2 linked regions of the Cricetulus griseus genome follow. The protein of the gene in region 2 purifies or fractionates together with the protein of the main gene of each other region. This does not show direct contact. Links are inferred from orthologs where the notes say so. Each region holds a gene or a part of one and is shown on either strand. Other genes may lie near its edges. The genes, in order: Ube2b and Ubr2.

Evidence for each region.
Region 1: the proteins of Ubr2 (region 2) and Ube2b purify together in Homo sapiens (affinity purification with western blotting; 3 studies listed by BioGRID, with this or other methods). This does not show direct contact. The link is inferred for Cricetulus griseus from reciprocal best matches to the Homo sapiens genes UBR2 and UBE2B.

The regions. Positions count from the first base shown.
Region 1 is NC_048600.1:66,251,420-66,259,052, forward strand, and holds the end of Ube2b (ubiquitin-conjugating enzyme E2 B), read right to left. Parts: intron 5,250-7,633; coding exon 5,161-5,249; intron 3,837-5,160; coding exon 3,708-3,836; 3' UTR 2,571-3,707; downstream 1-2,570. UniProt on the Homo sapiens protein: E2 ubiquitin-conjugating enzyme that accepts ubiquitin from the ubiquitin-activating enzyme E1 and transfers it to a E3 ubiquitin-protein ligase. In vitro catalyzes 'Lys-11'-, as well as 'Lys-48'- and 'Lys-63'-linked polyubiquitination.
Region 2 is NW_023276806.1:256,332,460-256,339,574, reverse strand, and holds part of Ubr2 (E3 ubiquitin-protein ligase UBR2), read left to right. Parts: intron 1-1,700; coding exon 1,701-1,849; intron 1,850-2,976; coding exon 2,977-3,032; intron 3,033-3,191; coding exon 3,192-3,288; intron 3,289-3,408; coding exon 3,409-3,476; intron 3,477-4,738; coding exon 4,739-4,874; intron 4,875-5,598; coding exon 5,599-5,689; intron 5,690-7,115. UniProt on the Homo sapiens protein: E3 ubiquitin-protein ligase which is a component of the N-end rule pathway.

The sequences.
Region 1 (7,633 bases), on a different chromosome or scaffold from region 2:
CTAAAAATGACACATGCGTTCAATTATCTCTTCTTCCCTCAAAGGATAGAGGGTAATCCTTTCAATCACATGACTTCTGGCATCTTTGCTCTGTCACACACTGGGACAGAAAATTATTGGATAGTAGCTCATTTTCTCTCTAGATGGGAACTAAGCATAATCCTGGCACAAGTCTCTTTCCTGACAATTCTGCACAACCTCTACAGCTCCGGCTACTGGATTTCTATTTACACATTAAGCCCATGACACATCCCATGGCTGGACACAACAGAAAGGACTGTGAACCACACGGTCTACTCCCCAAATTAGGAAAATTGAAAGACGTCAAAGCACCCCAGGGCTAGGTAGTACAGCTCGCTGACAGAACACTTACCAAGCATGCCTGGGGCTTTTGACTCCTAGTACCTCAAAATTTGGGCCCAAATGTTTCTTTATAGAGGAAGGGTCTCTGTGTAGCTCTTGCCTTGGCCTCCCAAATAGTGAGCTATATACATGAAACATACCACATGTATTTTACCTGTGTGCTTTTAAATCTTTTATCTGTGAGTGCTGGTGCCCACCCATGGGTCAGAAGCTTCAGGTCCCCTGGAGTTAGAGGTGAGCTACCTGATGTGGGTGCTGGGAACTGAACTCAAGTCCTTGCCAAGAGCAGTGTGTGGTCATAATTAACACTGTGCTATCTCTCCAGCCTCCAGTGTTATTCCCATGACTAGGCAATAGGAACTAGGTATATGCTCATCAGTATAGTGCTTACCTGGCACTCACAAGGACCTTGGTTCAATCCTCAGTTCTACCAGAAAATAACAAAACAGACCATTAGTAATCAGAGCATCACTCTTAGCTTTCATTACTGTCCACCTATGAATTTTAGATCAGTCTTCAGACCTTAAATTACATTGATTTTGTGTTTACATATATGAGAGCACATGTGCTAAGCTGTGGTGAGAGGTCAGAGGACCATAAGTTATGGGAATCAGTTCTCTGCTTCCATGGGGTCCTGAACCTTCACATGCTGAGTCATCTCTCAGTCAGGTTCTCAAAGTTATTTACATTAATGGAACCATTTTGTTGTGAAGGGGGCTAGGCCCATGGAGTTCTAGACTCAAGGGTATTTCCTGGAAGGCGAAAACGGTTTACTGAGAAATTGGTCCTTTATATAGAGACTAAAGAATTTTCTATATCCAGACTTCTTGATGAGGGTTATGTGTGTCAAGATGGAAAATGATAAGAAAACCTTCCCAATGGATAGTCTCTGTGTAACTGTCAGTATTACTCCAAAAGTGAAATTCCCCTGAATATTATTCACCAAGAGTCAGACTACTCCAAAGCCAGCTCATGTCCAGCTGGTTGACCTGAGACACCTCATCTCTGTGTACTTAGTTCCCTAATTTGTAATGAAACTTGAAGTGAGCTGGGCAGTGGTGGCACACACCAGCACTTGGGAGGCAGACACAGGTGAATCTCTGAGTTTGAGGCCAGCCTGGTCTACAGAGCGAGTGCCAGGACAGGCTCCAAAGCTACAGAGAAACCCTGTCTCAAAAAACCAACCAACCAACCAACCAACCAACCAACCAACCAACCAACCAACCAACCAACCAACCCCAAAAACCCACTGCTGGGAAAAGTACCAGTGGGCTGCTTTCTGCTAGCCATTACTGAGGAACTGCATCACAAGTGCATCTAAACCCTAATGCAAATTTACCTCAGTATCAGTTCTAGCTTCTTGCTGTACAAATGTATCTAGAGAATAAAAATGAACATTTTGTATGGTAAAAACTTATCAGCTGGGCCATGGTGGCATACGCCTTTGATCCCAGCACTCGGCAGGTGGATCTCTGTGAGCTCAAGGCCAGCCTGATCTACAGAGCAAGTTCCAGGACAAGCTCCAAAGCTACACAGAGATACCCTGTCTCAAAAAACCAAAACCAAAAAAGAATAAATTCAGTGCTGACACAGTTATCAAAGACAGTGTTTAGCTAAATAGGAGAGTCCCTCACAGGTATTGCTTATTTACTGTCTGGGTCATTAGAGAAAGAATGTTTTAGAGCTAAATGATAGAGGCATCACTTGTGGGTCTCACTATGTAGCCCTGATTGGCCTGGAACTCACTACATAGACCAGGCTCAAACCCATGATCCTCCACAGGCTCCTGAGGATTATGTGCCACCATGTTCTACTTAAAAAGCTTGATTTTTTTTTTTTTTAAACTATGTGTCTGTGTATGTGAGTGCTAGTGTCTGAGGAGGCCAGAAGCTTTGGATCCCCCTGGAGCTGGAGTTACAGGGGCCTGTGAGCTGTGGATGCAGAAAAACGAGCTTGGGTTCTTGTAGAAATAGTACACACTATTAACCACTGAACCATCTCTCCAGTTCATCGGAGTAATACTTCTAAGGGTACCAGCGCTTATCCATCCCAGTTTTAAACTTTGCTCGTAACAGAAGACATAGTCATTCCGCAACCCAATTTTCCAACAAAGGGACTACCAGAGCCCATCTCTAGAAGGCTGGTATGGATGACAAGAAACTCAGGCTCACTGCAATAGCTGTTTCAACTACTAGAGAGACTACACAAGTGGTTCAACAGAATTTACTTGTATATTTTCCATTTTCTATACTATTTGAAGGCATAGGATAGCTTTGTATTAGCTTTCTACAATACTGTGTTTTAAATCTATCCAGTAAACTAAGATGCAGTACAACTTGTATACAACTGAGGAGGTGAGAAGCAACTCGGCAGGCCCTGGTGCTCAACAGTTTCAGAATAAACAGGTAGCGTGCAGCTGCATTAAAAGGTAGTTTGCAAATATTCAAGTTACACCAAGATTCCTTCCAAATCTCTGCCATGCTCAAACCAACACAACCGGCCATTGCTAATACTGCGGCACGGCGTTTGGTAAATGGTGATGGTTTTACTTTCTTCTTAATCAAAAGCCCGTGAAGGTGCTGCCACACAACAGAGTCAATCAGCTCTGCTTGTGGCCGAGGTGCCAATTGTGAAGTCACAATAGGTACAGTTTAACATGAGAAATGCACGTTAACAAGTGGCCCAAATACAGAGCTGGACAGAATCAGACCAGTAAGTCTATAATTACTCAACTGAACTAACATAAGTACATTCAAAATAAAGCCGGAGATCAGAATTGGTTTTAGACTCAAATTTGCAGACTTTCTTGATAAAATAGAAGTATGATCTTCTGCAGTTGGAAATGAAGCTCTCAACTGGTGGAGAGCTAGAGACTTCTCAGTCCCTCCTGCACAGATAAGGAAATAAGTGACAAAGTCTCTTGCACTGAAGTTATGTATTTTAACAGCTTTACATGTAATATTCATATATAAAAAACTTTAAGTGCTTTTCTCCAATTTAAAAATCTAAAGAATTCAAAAATAAGGCATTCAATATTTGAAAAAAGTACAGATTTACAAAATGTGTATATTCTGTCATGAAAACTCCACACCAACATTATACACTTGGAAAAAAATACAAACAGGATATATTACAAATTTATGCAGCAATAACTTAGTTCACACCATGCAATAAAAAGTACATTAATCAAGATACACAAGCTTTTGTAGGTTCTAAACTGAAGGACTTTTTCTTTTTTCTCTGCAGAATCCTTAAAACCCGTGGCACTTAAAACTTGCTAGCCTTTCTACTGGGAGGTAAATTATACACAACAACGATGAAAAGATGAACAGACCAGGTGTCTATTATGAATCATTCCAGCTTTGCTCAACAATGGCCGAAACTCTCTTCTCATACTCCCGTTTGTTTTCCTGATAAAGCTGTGCTGCTTGGCTATTTGCTGGACTGTTTGGATTTGGTTCATCCAACAGAGACTAAAAGAGAGAAGAAAATGCTTTTCAGTTATATGTCTATTAATAGGGCTCAGATGAGGACAAAAAAATTACTCAAAATGACAGAATTATTTGGAAGTTTCCATGTCATCTTTTAGGTCTCAAAACCTTCAGAAGTGGCACGAAACAGGTTTCTGCTGCTAAAGAACATAAATTTCTAAAACAATTCCCAGTTGCCTTGAGACCTCCCATTTCAAGGAAATCAGCCAAGAACAATATTCATTTGAATATAAGAACTTCCTCACCAGGAAACAAATAGCTTAATTTGGTTAGGCTCTAACACCGGTAAATACCTTAGTAGCTTATTTTTATTGACCTTTTACTGCTACTATCATGTTTTTGGTGTGCTCAGGTCTCCGGCATGCTAGGTAAACCGCCCCCCCCCCCAACAGCAATAATGTTGGGTGAGCCTTGCTCCTTTGATAAATAAAACATCCATGTTCAGCAGGGAGGGAATGAAATAGTAAAGTTGGCCAGAGCGGGAAGGGATGAGCAAAGAGTAATGAGCAACCTAAGGGCAACAGTTGCTCTTCTATGTAGGTATATTCTATGTGGAATATCCCTTTAAACACATGGAACATGGGAACAGCAATGGACTATGGGGGGGGGGGCGACACCACACACAGGGATGGGACAGACAGAGGGTGAGCAGGACAGACAGGTAATGGGGAAGCAGGTATGCACAGGGTCAACGACACAGCATGAAACATCATGACATTCTCTATCTAGAGATGAACCGAACTAACAGTAAAAGACTCACAAAGACGGACATAAATTTTGCTCCCCCCAAATCAGCACAGCCACAACAGCCTCTCCAGACTCACTGGCAAACTGTTACTGTCCCTCTTTACAGACTTTCCTCAGTGAAAAAAAGAGGTCACAGTTCTTTGACCGGGCAGTTCCTAGAGGTCCCTAAGCAATCTTAACTTCTCAAGATACTACGAGGACATGAGTAAGTCTGACCTGTGAGAATGTGTAGCACATGACTAACAGGTTGTGACTAGGCATGGTGGCACATAGGACTGTATCTATAGCATCGGAAGAGAGGCAGGAGAATCAGAGGTTAAAAGTCATCCATGGGACAGACTAGGCAACAATAGACACCACCACCAGAGGAAACAAGTTTGTGGATTAGACCTTAGATGTCAACTAACAGAACAGCCCAGGGTTCCTGTCTGTGTGCTGCGTTAGTTCCAGGGCACTGGCTGGCAGTTTGTTTCCTTGGTTGTTAAGACTGCTCCTCTAAGTGACTGGTCATGTCCCACAGAATGCGGAGAAGTTGTGATGCTTCTGAACACACACGTACCTGAATTGAAGTTAAGATGGAAGAGACATCATATGTGGGACTCCATCGATTCTGCAGGATATCTAAACATATGCTACCATCAGCATACACTGCAAAGACAACACTGAAGTTAGTTACCACTGCCTCACAACCTAGTTAAGAGAGTATGTCAGCACACAATACCTGACCAAGTAACAGTTCTGAATGTCAGGTAGTAAACTAAACCCTGCCATCTCACTGGAAAACTTGTTCTGAAAAGTCATGTTGGTCTCACTTCAGAAGTCCCAGGGAGAGACTTTTCAAAGCACAACATATATTAATTACTCCATTTTGGGTTCAAGGTTGTAGCTCTGTGGTAGAGTGCCTGTTTCGCACAACACAAAACTACACCACTCTTTTTTTTTTTAATTAGTTCAAGTTAGGGAACAAGCTTGTTTCACATGTAAGTCCCTTCTCCCCTTCCCTCCCCTTACTCCCATCCTCCCCCTCACCCCCTACACCACTCTTCTTAAGTCTCAAACACAACTCTTAAAAAAATGATGACACATTCAAGGTACACTACTAATGTAGTCATCATAAACGCCATCTATTGTGTTTCTCATGAAAATAAGGGATTTTTGTTTGTAGCAGGTTCTTACTATGCAGCTCTGGCTGTCCTAGAACTATGTATATCAAGCTGGTCTCGAACTCACAGAGATTTGCCTGCCTCTGCCTCCCAAATGCTGGGATTAAAGGTGTACGCCACCACTGCCTGGCTCCATATTTTCGTTTTTTTAAAAAGCACGTAAGTACTTTCACTTTAAGTAAATAACAAATATTTGCAAAATTATGTCAAAATATTAACAGTAAGACTTGACAGCTGACCTTTAATCCATCCTTGTAATATACTCCATGCCCCAACCTCTGGTCACACACAAGTAGAAGAAAAAGGCAGAAGTTAACATGCACTGAAACTTTTGACTACCTGGGACATACTTTGTACCCTCTTAGACCAATGTTACAGACATTGCCAATGCACAGAACTTCATTTGTTTAGTAGTCTCATGTAGCCCAGGTATGCTATGGAGCACAGAACAGCAATGAGCTTCTGATCCTCCTGCCTCTCTCTACCTCTAAGTAAGTGTTGGGCTTATAAACATGCTCCATTACTTCTGGCAATATTGCCAAACTGAAAAACCCAGAACCACGATATCCTCCATGGCAACAGGGTTAAAGAGTGGGCGTTTGAGCCTTTGCTCAGGGCTCCATCCTAGGGTTTCTTTTCTTTCTATTCCCATTATTGATCTCTGTGCAATCATATCCATCCTCCTGGCCTCACCTTGTTCTCTGTGTGCTCAGTATTACTAATTGAATAGTAGAAGTCAGCCACTTCTCATCTGTCCGAGGATCAAATGTCACATCCCAAGCCAGAAAATAAAAAAGCAATTGAAAATATTCAAGTTTTGAACTAGTTTTGAAATGCAAAAGGAAAGTTGAATCCAAATGGCCATCAATTGATCAAAAGGAAAACAGAAGATATCTAAATAATAAAACATTAGACTGTTACCTCCCAAGAGAAATGGAAACTGGCCATTTTGATGGTTTAACTGTGTCTGACTACACCAAAACTCCACTGAATTGTGTAATTAAAATGGACAAATAGGCTGAATGTGGTGTTTCATGCCTTTAATTCCAGCACTTGGGAGGCAGAGGCGGGTGGATTCTGAGTTCAAGACCAGCCTGATCTACAAAGCAAGTTCCAGGACAGCCAGGGCTACACAGAGAAACCCTGCCTTAGAAACCCAAGTAAATAAATAATAAATACAAAGAAAGAAATAAAATGAACAAGTAGAATGGTATACACATTGTATACCCCTATGTTTGTATGTTTGTATGTATCTATCAATCAAACAACCCAGGATTGAGGATGTAGCCCAGTCTGTAGAGGGTTTGCCCACTGGGTAAACTTGGAGTTTGATCCCTAGTGTCACATAAACTGGGTGTGGTGGCATCTGTACATAAGCACAAAGAGATGAAACCAGGAGATCCTGTGTTCAAAGTCATCCTTGAATATATACCAAAATGAAGGCCAGCCTGGCTATATGATCCCATCATTTAGCTTTTTATTTATTTGAGCAAGCACACATGTACTTGGGTGCTCAAGTAACATGTGTAGAGGTCAGAAGACTACCTATAGGAATTGGTTCCATCATTGGAGTCCCGGGGATTGAACCCAGGCTATCAGAATTAATGGCAAGGTACCTTTACCTACTGAGCCATTTTGAAGACCCTAAAATCTTTATTTTTATTTTGGGAGACAGGGTCTCATGAAGTCCAGGCTGGCTCTGAAGTTACTAAGTAGCTGAGAATGGCCTTGAATGCCTGATTGCCCACCATCTGGCTTGAATGTGTGGTTTATAAAAGCCAAATTTCAGGTGAAATTTTTGTTAAGCAAATGATGTTTATTACTTTTTTTTTTCTCGAGACAGGATTTCTTTGTGTAGTTTTGGAGCCT
Region 2 (7,115 bases):
TTCTCTGTGTGACTGAGCAGATTCCTTAGCCTGCCTCTGCCTCGTTCCCTTCACTGTAGGGGGGCGGAGGTTTCAGTTTGGTCAGGGCGAGGGGACATAAGAATGTAATACATGTGGAATCTGCCTGTTGTGTCCTGAGTGGCCTGGAAGACCTAATTTGGGGAAGGCCTCAGGCCTCTGCTTGCTGTGCTTCCACTGGTCCTTTTGTTAAGATGCCCGTACTCTCCATAATCTTTCTGATGCCTTTTCTGTGACCCTATGCTGGATATTGAACTCGGGGCCTAGGAATACCAGGCATGTATCTGACCACCGAGCTGTGTATCTCCGGCCCTATTTTCACATTTCCAATTCAGTAATACCTTATTGTCAGATAAGATCATTTGGGGGGGTGGTCAATCAATGGTCCGCTTTTGCATTGTGTGTGTCTTCTAAATAATACTCTGTATATTGTAAGGACTTCCATCCTGTAGCAGTTGGTCTCCTGTAGTGCACAGCTCCTTGTCTTCCTAAGCTTGCTTCTGTGTCTGTTGTGGTTGTTCCTCAGTGGTGCGGTGGTTCTGACCAGGCCTGGCGCTTGCTTTTCCACACTCTCAGACCTGTCAGATATCATCTGTCCTTGAGGCCTTGCTCCAGCACATAGCCCCAGCCTTCTGCACCAGTCAGGACAGGGCACAGCTATCCTTGCAATTGTCCATGGCTGTGTTCCTTTGTTTGTTTGTTTTGTTGGTTTTTAAGACAGGGTCTCACAGTGTAGCCCTGGCTGGTTACATACTCATAGTGGCATCTCACCTTTGGGAGTGGCCATGCACTACCATGTGGGGTTCTGTGTATCTTTGAGGGGGAAAAAAAGATGTCATTCCGACTCCCATTCTTTGCCATATAACTAGTCTGAATTCTTGGCATCTTCCCTTGTCTGGAATGTTCTGATGTCCCTTCGTTTTATGTGACTTCTTTGTCATTGGGCAGTTTTTGCAACACTTCCCATCTGGTGTCTTTCGCTGCTGAGTTTCTATGTGGTGTCTTGAGTTTGTCCCTTGGGGGCTTCTGTTCTTTGATGTGGTCTTCTGTTTGCTTATATTGGCCTTCTTAGACACCCTAGTCTCAACAGGTTTTGGTTTGGCTTCTCCTGCCCACCAGCTCATCTACTCTAGGAACTGAACTCAAAGTGTTGCTCACATACTCTAACTAAGCTATTTCCAAGTCCATGTTTAATTTCTACTCACTAACTTAAGTGAATGTTTATGACACTTTCCTTCTGTCTGGTCCTTGGGTAGCCACTAAACAGTAAGCTGTAGACATTCGGGTCTACAGCTGGGCAGGTCAGAGCTTTCTGAGTCTCACAGCAAGGTCAGTAGTCACCACCAGCTTTTGACCCAGAGACTCCAGATGTCAGTGTGTGGGACAGCTTTTCTCCAAGGTTCTGTCCTGGAAACACCAATGTCTGGCTGTGGGGGAACATCCTGAGGTCAGCCAGAAGTTCCATGGTTCCGACAGTAGGTGGACCTGGTTGCCTGCCTTGGGCCCTGAGTCTTCCCTCTGCTCATGCACAGAACATAACTCCCCTCAGCCAGGCAATGGCACACAGCCATCTCTGGAGATGTTTAATGGTTTGATTGCAGCACAGGACAGAGCGGCTGAGAGATGGAGCCATTTTATCCATGTGTGCAACTTTTGAACTAAACCTGTGCATCTTTACACAGGAACCCATATTCTGATAGTATAAAAGAAATGCTAACAACATTCGGAACAGCTACTTACAAGGTGGGACTGAAGGTTCATCCCAATGAGGAGGACCCCCGTGTGCCCATCATGTGCTGGGGGAGCTGCGCATACACCATCCAGAGCATAGGTAAGACACTCACCGAGGTGGTGATTAGAAATGTGATTAGAGCTGGGTGTGGTGGCACACTCCTTAATCCCAAGGCAGAGGCAGGCAGATTTCTGAGTTTGAAGCCAGCCTGGTTTATTGAGTTCTAGGCCAGCCAGGGCTTCAAACTGAAACCCCTACTGTGAAAAACAAAAACAGGCTGCAGTAGTGCCACTAATCCTAGCACTAAAGAGGCAGGGGCAAATAGATCTCTGTGAGTTCCAGGACAGCCAGGGCTACACAGAGAAACCCTATCTTGAAAAAAAGCAAAACAAGAAAAAAGAATGTTGTTTAGAAGATGCAGCTTTCTAGGGACCAGGCACAGATGTGGTACACAGACAGACAAACATTCATCCTCAGTCTTTTTTTAATGATGTTTAGTGTAAGGAAGTATAAAGGAGAAATAAAAGAAAATAGCAAAGAATTGTATACCAGGAAAATGCTGGTTTGTTTCACAATTTGTAAATAAATACAGCAACAGAAAACAAATTTAGGTGGTGGTTATGGGAACTTCTAGTTGAGGGACCCAGTAGGGTTTTTTTCCTAATTTTATGTGTATGGTTATTTGCCTGCATGTATGTTTGTACTATGTGTGACCCTGGCGCTTGCAGAGGCCAGAATTGGGCATCAGATCCCCTAGAACTAGAGTTACAGATAGTTGTGAGCTACCAAGTGGGTGCTGGGAACCAAACCCAAGTCCTCTGCAAGAACAGCAACTGCAATGGACAGTGGTGACATGCCTTTTATCCCAACACTTGTAAGTCAGTGGCAGGCAGATCTCTGGTCTACAGAGTAAATTCTTTTTCTTTTATCCAAAGTGAGTTCTTGCAAAATGACTTAAAGATGGTAATACCTAGCTGGGCAGAGTGGTACCTTTAATCACAGCTCTCAGAGATAGGCTGATCTCTGAGTTTGAGGACAGCCAGGGCTACACAAAGAAACACTGTCTCAAAAAACAAAAACAAAAAAATGCTAAAACCTGAAAAAATTGCATTCTCTTCAGAAATAATAGAACTTATTAAAAAATGTACAAAGAAAGTTAACTTTTAAGAAAATAACAAAATATACATGGCATTCAATTTACCTTCTTCACCATCTTTAATCTTTAGAAAGAATTTTGAGTGATGAAGAGAAGCCCCTGTTCGGACCTCTGCCTTGTAGACTGGTAAGAGCACTCATTCCTCTCAGTAGTGCCTGTTTTCTTTAAAAATGCAAAAGAACTTGTTTTGGGGGCTAGTGGTACTTGCTTCTTGTTTGTTCCATTGTTTATTTATAGAAGGCCCTGCTCTTTTCTCTGGTAACTGTAAGGACTTCTTTATTTCAGGACGACTGTCTCAGGTCTTTAACACGGTTTGCAGCAGCACATTGGACAGTGGCATCACTTCCTGTGGTGCAAGGACACTTCTGTAAACTCTTTGCGTGTAAGTGTCCCGTGTCTGTGACCATCTGTTCTGACATGGTCTTTGGAAATTTTCTTGATAGGAGTCTGATGGCTCCATTACAGTGAGTGTTTTCTCTAATGTGTCTTCTTCCATCTCTAGCCTTGGTGCCTAATGACAGCTATGAAGACCTCCCGTGTATATTAGACATCGACATGTTTCATTTACTGGTGAGTGTTTACAATTAGCTTTGCATCCTCTTCACCACACTGGACTTGATGAGTCAGTAGCCAGGAAGACCAAGAGGAGGCAGTGTCACCATGGATTTCTACACATCCACATCTAGTTAGGTTCTGAGGAAACTTGGTGTGGATGTCTGGTTGTCCTTCCTCTCTTGTTTGGCTTTGTGGCTGAGATCTGTAATAGAACTGTCTGCTTTTGACCCACTAAGAGGTCAAATAACGATGGCTGCATCAGTGATGCTGACATCTCACAGTCCGTTTAGTTGTTTTGTGAATTGTAGGAAATCTGAACGGATCCAGCCTGCAGTCACAAATACTTGATGGCAGACCTGCCTCTCTCTCCTATTTTGTACTTTTTATTTTTTAAGAAAGATTGTATTTATTTATTATGTATACAACATTCTGCTTCCATGTATATCTGCACACCAGAAGAGGGCACCAGATCTCATAACGGATGGTTGTGAGCCACCATGTGGTTGCTGGGAATTGAACTCAGGACCTCTGGAAGAACAGCCAGTGCTCTTAACCTCTGAGCCATGTCTCCAGCCCCCCCCGCCCCCTGGTTTAAAATAGGGTATATTCGTTGTATGAAATAGTAGCTTTTCCTATGAAATTTGATCATATTCACCACCACTTCCCTCTGTTGTCCCTACTACTTCCTGGGCCCCTCATTTTCCTTTTTCCTTTTTATCTTTTTCTTTCTTTCTTTTTTTTTTTTTTTAAATCTAGATACCACAGATGAAAACATGCTTTATTTGTCTTTCTGGTCCGACATACTTCATTTAGTATGATACCTGGTTCCGTCCCTTTCCTTATTTGTAGCATCACTTCATTCTTAATGACTGAATAATACTGCCTTGTGTGTTTTCTTTTTTTACTTTTACATATATAATATATATTTCTTTGGTGGGTGTATACCACAAGCTCAAACATGGAGGTCATGTTCTCTGATCTCCACACCCTTGGGTGCATACACAAAAAAATAAATGTTAAGAAAATAAAGGGATTTCACATACATCATTACCCCATGGTCTGTTTGTAGGGAATCCACTGGATAAATGAAATGATAGTGACTGACTCTCTAGGCCCCTTCAGCTCCAGTTCATTGAGCCAGTTCTAGTGGGTTTTCAGACATTGCCCTTCTTCCCTTTTAAGTTTAAAGGGAGGGCTAAACTGGGAAAAGATCCCAAAAGAGCACAGATGTGTAGCCATGAAGAGAGGCCTATGCTGATTATCTGTTTTGTGTCTAGGTGGGCCTGGTGCTTGCGTTCCCGGCTCTGCAGTGTCAGGATTTTTCAGGAAGCAGCGTCGGCACTGGAGACCTGCACATTTTTCATCTGGTTACCATGGCACACATTGTACAGATCTTACTTACCTCATGTACAGGTTTGTCAGCTTCTTGAACTTGCGTTTTTCAGTTTAAAACAAACATGTTTGGGAGAGAGCAGTATATAAATCACAGTCAGGTTACTTGCTCTTTCTGTTTGCCTTCCTGTAAAAACTTTTAGGTTTCTTTCTCTTGTGAAACTCCCCTGTAGTATGAATGTTTTGCTTTTTTCAGTTTAGTTCATTAATCTGTGAATGGCATAAATTAAGCCCCACTGAATGTTGTTTCAGAATGCCAGTTTTGTTTTAACTCACATGTTTCGTTAGTATCCCAGCAAGTTCATTCTTAAGCTATGTTTCCATTCAAGCATCCTGTTACTCAAACATTGCAAGACAGTGTGTTAGTTCTTAGTCCCCACTGGATGGTGGCTGCCTGACAGTGTGTTAGTTCATAGTCCCCACTGGATGGTGGCTGCATGATGGTGTGTTAGCTATAGTCCCCACTGGATAGTGGCTGCACGACAGTGTTAATTATAGTCCCCACTGGATGGTGCCTGCAAGACAGTATATCGGTTAATACTGTCCACAGTGTGATGGTTGGCTCAGTGGTCAGATGGAGAACAGTACTGTGTGCACACTTGGAAATTTAAATCCTAGTTACTTATAAGAGTATTTCCTGTTGTATATGAGTGTGTGAATATGTTTGGGTGCTTGGCTCGTGTACTTACAAGCCTTTTGAGCCACACAAAGGAATGGAGACCCCTACTATGTCTCTGTCTTTCAGAAGAGAATGGCATGGATCAAGAAAATCCCACTGGGGAAGAAGAATTAGCTGTTCTGTCTTTGCACAAAACACTTCACCAGTGTACTGGAAGGTGAGACCCCAGTCTTCCATGGGAGGTACTTCCCACGTGCCCGTGGGAGAAATTGCTGTATATTGCTGTGTTAAAAATCTAGGAGTGACTGCTCATATCCTTGACACAACTGAGTCTCAGAGAGGGATAGTCATGTCTGGAGCCTCACGTTTACTTGGTGGTAAGCCCTACAGTTGCTCAGTCAGATGCCAACTAGTAGGCGGTTGCACTCTGAAGATGCTCTCCTAAAATATGAGTTATCTTCTCAGCAATTTCAAAATGTAAATTGGAAGCCAGGTGGTAGGTGGCGCATGCCTTTAATCCCAGCACTCGGGAGGCAGAGGCAGAGGCAGGCGGATCTCTGTGAGTTTTAGGCCAGCCTGGTCTACAGTGCTACACAGAGAAACCCTGTCTCGGAAAAAAAAAAATCAAATGCAAATCGGATTAGCATAGTGTGTTTGCAAGATGATCCGGGAGAGACTGAAACACAGTGAGATTACTTGAACAGCACATACTGGTGTCACTGTGCCTTGAAATAGCAGTCTCACTTAGATCCTAGTAATGTGTATTGGGGCCTTGGGAATGTTTGTGCTGGGCTGGAGAGATGGTGCCAGCAGGAAAGTGCTGGATGCGTGAATTCGATGGGCTGGGTAAAAAGCCCTGTGGGTGGTGGAGACAGGAGGGTCACTGGGACTTGCTGGCCTCCAGCACAACTTCAGCATCAGGAAAAGACCCTGCTTTAAAGGAGTAAGTGGAGAGTGGTGGAGAGCAGGCACCCAGTGTCCTCTTCTGGCCTCTGAGTACACACACACACACACACACACACACACACACACTTAAATACACCATCTGTGTATATACACACATTATAGAAAAGGTCTTTGAATTATCCCATTTGAAAGCCCACTTGAATGAAGTAATATAACGTACAGAAGAACTTACAGGGATTTACAGATACACCCTGGTGTTATTTATGCCAGCAAGGAGCTGAAAGTGATCCAGATGTTTGTGTAGGGGCATAGTTTGATGTCACTTGTGATCAGTGTGTTCAAAAATACAATGGCTGGATTAAAAATTACAGTATGTAATATTTTCTAAATAGCATGGTAGTTAAACTGCATATAGTTGCAGCTGTGTAAGACAAATTAGTGTGGAAGCAATATACTAGAATAATACCTGGTGGTGTAAGATTCTGTAATAACTGCTAGGATTTGTTTTCTGTTTTGCTTTTGTTTGTTTGTTTGTTTGTTTGTTTGTTGGGGGGGTTGGAGGGTTTTTTGTTTTTTAGTTTTTGCTTTTGTGTGGATGTGTGGTTTTTCCAGACAGGGAAACAGTCCTGGCTATCCTGGCATCTGCTTTGTAGACCAGGCTGGCCTCAAACTCACTGAAATCCTCCTGCCTCTGCCTCCTGAGTGCTGGGATTAAAGGCATGCACCACCACACCTGG